Mus musculus: one gene and its partner. The protein of the gene in region 1 interacts with the protein of each later gene in a pairwise test. Links are inferred from orthologs where the notes say so. Each region holds a gene or a part of one and is shown on either strand. Other genes may lie near its edges. The genes, in order: Ybx1 and C1qbp.

The links.
Region 2: the proteins of Ybx1 (region 1) and C1qbp interact in binary tests that used the Homo sapiens proteins (3 or more experiments, as listed by UniProt). The link is inferred for Mus musculus from reciprocal best matches to the Homo sapiens genes YBX1 and C1QBP.

What each region holds. Positions count from the first base shown.
Region 1 is NC_000070.6:119,292,207-119,296,122, reverse strand, and holds the start of Ybx1 (Y-box-binding protein 1), read left to right. Parts: upstream 1-1,609; 5' UTR 1,610-1,759; coding exon 1,760-1,919; intron 1,920-2,317; coding exon 2,318-2,381; intron 2,382-3,916. UniProt on the Homo sapiens protein: DNA- and RNA-binding protein involved in various processes, such as translational repression, RNA stabilization, mRNA splicing, DNA repair and transcription regulation.
Region 2 is NC_000077.6:70,977,306-70,980,302, forward strand, and holds the end of C1qbp (complement component 1 Q subcomponent-binding protein, mitochondrial), read right to left. Parts: intron 2,799-2,997; coding exon 2,705-2,798; intron 1,480-2,704; coding exon 1,384-1,479; intron 1,246-1,383; coding exon 1,123-1,245; intron 940-1,122; coding exon 790-939; 3' UTR 541-789; downstream 1-540. Other genes in the region: Rpain (RPA-interacting protein), read left to right, coding at 353-382.

The DNA of each region.
Region 1 (3,916 bases):
CAAGGCTGGATGATAGTAGTATTGCAGGCGAGCTTGTTCTGGGGATCCAGGCTGAAATCCCAAGAGAGGGCTGCCATGCCCACTCAGCATTTATTCTGGGTATCTAAACTCCAGTCTTAACATCAGGACTGCAAGTGATCTAACCACAGAGCCACAGAGCCATCTCCACAGAGCCATCTCTCCAGCCCTGGTCTTGGTGGTGGTGGTGGTGGTGGGGGGGGGAATGAGACAGGGTTTCTCCTGGCTGTCCCTGAACTCACTTTGCAGACTAGCCTGGCCTCGAACTCAGAAATCCGCCTGCCTCTGCCTGCCAAGTGCTGGAATTAAAGGCGAGCGCCACCACAGCCCGTCGGATTTAGCGTTCTTTTTGTATTTCTAGTTCATGCTTTTATTTACTGGGAGCTAGGAGTATGCCACAGTGCTCGTGGGGAGGTCAAGCTACAGCTTACAGGAAGAGGCTATCTTTCTCTTTCCATTATGTGGAGCTGAAGGCAAGAACTCAGGTTTGGCCAAGTGCCTTTACACACAGAGCCATCTCAGGTCCTCTTGTTTCCCCCACTCCCATCCCTTCTCTCTCTGCAGCCCCTTCTCCAAGCAGCAGCCTTTTCTTTCTTTAACGATGCTACTCCTTACTTACACCGCGAAAGCTACACTGCTCACCGGTGATCAGGGGAAGAATCTCAGGTTAAAAACACCTCTGCCCACCTCTGATTCCTACTTCGATTGGTTTCCTTTATTTGCAGTCTCCGTGAGACCCTATCTTTTCTAGGCCTTTGCACAAACCTACCTTTGCCTGAAATGTCACCACCCAACTCTTCCTGCTCCCACTCCCCAAACGCTGTGCTCACCCAACCAAGAAGTGGTGGGCGTTTAAAATTCCACCATCAGAAAGCAGAAACTAACTGGCAAACTACTTCAATCCCCAGTCAATAGTAGATGCGTAATAAAGAATGAATGAAGGTAGGCGGAGGGCTTCAGAAAGAAGGCAGCGTGTGTTTTACAGTGTATAAAAACAAGGATAGCAATCCTTGTCTACAGTGCTTAGTTTATAAAGTCAAAAACCCTAACATCCAATAAATGTGAGGCGAAATTAAATCTGATTTGTGGCCAGTATGAAATACATTTCCTCGGACGCCGGGGGAAACGATCACCCCCGCCCTGAACACGCTGAGTCGTGGCAGCTCCAGCGCCTGCGTGGTCCCTCCAAGGTGACTGGATCACCAAAAGCCTGACCCATTAAGGAGGCCCCGGCGTTCACCCAGCCGTGGGAAGGAGCCCCTTCTAGGAGGCCGGAGTAGGCCCGGCGATCGCGGCCCACGTGCGCGACGAGCGCAGCCCCATCTGGGAACGTTCCCTCTGCGCGTCCTCCCGGTACTCTATGGTGCTCACGGCCGAGGCTCTCATTCTAGTTCCGGTCTCTATGGCGGCGGAGGCCTGAGAAGCTGTGGGTCGGGCGAATTAGTCGCTAAAGATACCAATGAGAGCGCAGGAGCCGCGGAGCGTGAGCCAATAGGCGCTAGAGACCCGGTCAGGTGGTGAGATGGACAACGATGCGGACCAATGGGGGAGGACGAGGGCGGGTCTATCGCGGGGCTTATCCCGCCCGTCCCGCCATTCTCGCTAGTTCGATCGGTAGCGGGAGCGGAGAGCGGACCCCAGAGAGCCCTGAGAGCCCCACCGCCGCCGCCGGCCTAGTCACCATCACACCCGGGAGGAGCCGCAGCCGTCGCCGCCGGCCCCAGTCACCATCACCGCAACCATGAGCAGCGAGGCCGAGACCCAGCAGCCGCCCGCCGCCCCCGCCGCCGCCCTCAGCGCCGCCGACACCAAGCCCGGCTCCACGGGCAGCGGCGCGGGTAGTGGCGGCCCGGGTGGCCTCACATCGGCGGCGCCCGCCGGCGGGGACAAGAAGGTCATCGGTGAGCGCCAGAAGGGACCGGGGATGGGGCCGCGGGCCGGACCGTTAGGCGACGCGGCCCGAGCCACGGACTACGCGGCCGCCCCTCCCCCCCGAGGCCCGCGGCGCGCGCACACCGGGATCCCGCCGCTGCTCCGGCCGCCGCCGCCCCTCCCCCGCGCCCACCCGCCCCGGGGCCTCGTGCTGGGGTCCCCGCCCCGCCGCCTACGCAGCCGGAGGAGCGCGGGCTGCTTCCCCGGCCCTCACGTGCTCGCCTCCCGGGCGCACACCCACCTCGGACCCGCGCTACCCGGCGCACCCACGTGTGCGGCGAGGGCGGCGGCCCGGGCCTGCGGCTAGATCCTGGACCGACTTCCAGGGCCAGCCGGTGATTGGACGTTGTTGTGCTTTGTTTTCCAGCAACGAAGGTTTTGGGAACAGTCAAATGGTTCAATGTAAGGAACGGATACGGTTTCATCAACAGGTGAGATGCCGGGGTGGAAAGCTCGCGTCCGCCTCCTGCATGGGCCAGAGCCACCGCGGGCATGACAGGGTGGGGGATTGGGACCCTGTGTTTCTTCCTTGGGTGACGGGATTAGCGGGTCTGTAGACTCGCTTTGTGTTGCTGTTAAGTACCGATCTTGAGCTAGCCTCAAAAAGCTTTGGCACAAAGCAGGTCAAGGCAGGCGCGTCGCATGAGCCATGCCTTAACAGTTACCTTGCATCAAACTGAGGCAACTCCAGGCTAAGCACGCTTTTAACCTTGACATCCCTTTCTGCTTTGAAATTGCTATGTAAGAATGTGACCCGCTAATTAACATACAGGTGATCTTTCACCTTGTTAACCTCTCGGGGAACGGGATTTGACATGTCAGTTGCCTGAGATGTTATCTGTACTGTAAGGTTATGTTGCCTTTGTTTAGACTACTCGAATATTCAGTCCATTTAGTACCTCGAGCACATTTTTCCTATAGACCTTCTGTAGCCAAAGAGGGCTCTTCTTATTTGTCCAAACGACGAGTAACGTATCTGAAAGGAAATGGTTCTTCCTCATTTTTTATTTCTCTTACTTCCTTGTCAGGGAATCATGCTGATCAAATCAATTTTTGTTATAGCTTGCTGGAGTGGCCATAAGTCCTTGGGAACTTAGCCTTCGTTGTATTTGGCTTAGAGTTGTAAACTATACCTTCATAGATCCAGAGAAGGGTTTGTAGACGGCGGTGGTAAGTGCAGGCGCTGCCTGCACTCTGGGCTCCCTTGTGAGCCCGGCATCTTTTTCAAGATGGCTGCCAAGGCTAGTGCAGTTGCATGGGTGTAGAGCCCCGCGAGTGCCAGCAGCAATCCTGGCCGTACAGCTGTGATACTTGGCGCCATTTCAGCATTTTCTCTTACATGCTCGCTTAGAAGGCGTTAAATAAGTAGATGGTGAAGAGAGCGCTACAGAGTGGCACAGTGCTCGTGAATGGGCAGCTATAGGCTTTTAAAATAACGGAGTGATGAAAAACATTCACTGATGAACCCCACACAGTCGTGGAAACACTCAAGCAAAAGCGATTACAATCACTTAATGGACTGTTCTCTACAGTTGCAATTAGAGGGAAACATTTTGTTTTTCCAGACTCTAGGATTTCTCCTGTCACGGGCAGTTTGCCTTTCTGACCATGTGTCCTGGGTTCCTTCCCCCCCCCCCCCCCCCCCGGGTTACTAGTGAGCAAAGAAAAAAAAATGTAAGGCTTTGGTGCTTGTGGGGTTGACGTCCTGGTGGCTTTTAAAGTGGTCCTTATTCCTGGTTGGGTTAAAATGTTCATCCTGATGGTCCCAGGTGATGCGGAGAATAGTCTGCTCTCACCTTCCAGAGGACAATTTTAACCCTCAGTCCATTATAACTAGCTAGCCCTCCTTAGCAGCCCTTCCAGTTAGGCAAATTGTGGTTTTTGTATGTGTTTAATACATTTTAATATTTGTCTGGGCTTGTCACATTTTTTTGAAGTAGTGTCTATCTAAGATGTGTATACCTCA
Region 2 (2,997 bases), on another chromosome or scaffold:
AAACGGTAAGATTCAGATACCAAGGATGAGGCGAGTATAGGTGTGGATCACTTAAGAGGCTACTGTGAAGCAGACTTAGAATACTTGGTAAATCCAAAGAGGCTCGCTGTCAGGCTCCACAAGCCCCAAGCTGTCGGGTTTTGCTTTCTGAGGGTGCCTAGGCTTATAAGCTACATTGCTGATGGCTTCTGTTTAGTAGAACAGGTCCATGAACGCAGTGGCTTCTTTGAATTCCAGTGAATTAACTCATAGTGGTTCTACTTGTAGTACACATGTCACGACTGATGACAACTTTTAGCCATGTAAGATCTAACTGTTGATGTTACACTATCTTGTTTTCTGTTTAATCCAGACTTGTGACACCTGGGCTGTGATCCTCTAGCCATCCCGACCTCACACTTCACTACTGAGCTGAGAACAACTCATTTCCTGAGAGGGCCCTGTATGCACAAGCCTTTTGTATATAACGGATTTTATATTAAAACTTCAGACATCTCTGCTCTTGGTGTTCTGATGTGGGCGAAAGAACCTCAACTTTCCTGGAGATTTATTGGAGTCAGATTTATTGTCCATCATCATGTTATACAAAAATCTACAAATAATAAATTTGTACAGAGAAAAAAAGCCCAAAGGAATAGCGAATGGAGGTGTAACAGCAGTAATTTAAACTTGCTTCCCCCCGATATATTAGGATGACAGCCATTTTTGAAGCATAATTCTGATGCCAAGGGAGCTTTTGTTCACTGGCCAAAGCTTGCCATTTAAATTAAGGCCCGCAGTCTCTGAGTTCTACTGGTTCTTGACAAAGCTTTTGAGGTCCTCAAGAAAGGTGATATATTCCTGGTGCTCCAGGGCTGTGCTGAGCTCCACCAACTCATCCGCAAAAGTGTTATCCACCCCTCGGTCCGCAAGGAAATCCATTAGGTGGTCATACAAGGCCTGGGGAGAAAATACATTTACTAGCTTGAAAAACAAAACCCAAAAGTGGTCTGGCAAGGTCTGTGGGCTGACCTTCCCGTGTGGTTCAGCACACCCACGCAGACACATTTATTTCCCCTCTTGTAATGCTTGAAAGAGGACACTTCTCTGCAAACGCCCAGCACCCCCTCAGCCAACACTCACCCAGTCCAGGGAATCTGTGTTGAGTGTATAGTTTGTATCCCTCCACTCAGAGTCACCAGTGGCCTGAAAGCTAACTTCCTTGATAGAGAAAATATCACTCTCGGCCTCATCTTCGTGTCCAATCTGAGAGATACAGCAGAGGTAAGGGAAGTGCAAAGAGGCTCTGTAGTTCTAACCCTGTTCCCACCCCCTCCATCTAATAGATTAACAGATCTTTCCTGTGTATGCTACATGAAGGTCAGAAGACTCCACCCTACCCACCTCATCCTCAGGATAGTGACAGTCCAGTACAAGGGTCTTCTTGCCATCAGTCTTGGTAACTTCAACCACAAAGTTGGGAGTTGATGTCAGTTCTGGCTGGAGAGACAGGAATTAAGTCAGCATACACCAGTGCTGGGAGGGTGCACACACCTGGACCAATAGGAAGCTCAGAATGTCTGACAGCCATAGCCATTAGGTTACTATTAGCCATTTTTTAGTCTTAGGCTGTGGATAAGGCACTCAAATCTTCCAACAGAGCACTAAACAGTTTATCAATCACATGGGTCCAGAATGATATCTGCCGTCAGGCACAGCTAGCTATTTATTCTTCAGGGCTGTTTCTGCTCCCATACACTGCAGAGCACACAAGGCTGCAGCACAGACCTGGACCTCCTTCCCCTCTGACTGTTTTGGTGCACGATGGAGGCCTGGAACATATGGGCTCTAGCTAAGTGGCCATCTTAACCAGAAATAGCAGCAACTTCCTTTTACTGTGACCCAAGGGGCAGGCCTAAGGAGTTGGGTACAGGCTAGGACACAGAAGCACAGCAGGGGACTCAGCTCTTCATACACAAGACTGATATCTGCTTAGTTAGATAGCCTGGGGATCCTGTGGCCCTCAGTGGGGTATCTAGATCCAGCCATGAGGGCAGCAACTTAAGGAAAACATTTCAACTGGTCAAATGTTAAAAATATGTAAGGCCGGCCAGTGGTGGCGCACGCCTTTAATCCCAGCACTCGGGAGGCAGAGGCAGGCGGATTTCTGAGTTCGAGGCCAGCCTGGTCTACAAAGTGAGTTCCAGGACAGCCAGGGCTACACAGAGAAACCCTGTCTCAAAAACCAAAATAAAATAAATAAGGTTGAGCTGGAGTGACGGTTCACCCAGTAAAGGAGTTTGCTGCTGAAGCCTGAAGGCCTCCGTTCAACCCCGGGCCCCACATGGTAAGAAGGATGCAACTGCTTCCTACGAGCCCACACATTAGCGTCAAACATACAAATAAACATAATTTAAAGTCTCTAAGCCCCACCACCCCAGCCTTCCTATCTTGGTCACACGACGAGTGTTGACCATCCACTTGTCATCTTTCACACTGAAAACACTCCCAATGAGAGTTATCTGTAGACTAAGTCCTCCCATACCCCACACAGGCAGGGGTGGGCGGTCATAGCTCCTTTGTATTAAGAGGACACAGGCCAATAATGAAGCCTAAGCTCTACAGGGGGCCACACACTCTGAGAACATGGTCCATGCACAATCTACCTAAAAAGTTCCTCCTTCTCGGACAGAAAGACTGGCTGGCTGGAGTGTTACTAGCTTACCTCCTGTTCTTCAGCCTTCTGCCCCTGTGAGGGCTCCTCCTCACCATCAAATGTTGGAGGGATGCTGTTGTTGATGTTGAAAGTGACCGTGATCCTAGAACGGCAAGTAGAAGCACACTAAGGTACACTATTAGCACAGGAAGAGGGAGGCCTGCTGCGGTAGGGCAGGTGCGAAGGCACGCTAAAACAATGTCTCCATCCTAGCGAGCTGCACCAGGACTTAAACAGAACTTAAAACCAGCCTGGGTGCCTAAACCAACACGGCCATTAAACACCTTCTGAAGTGTTCATAC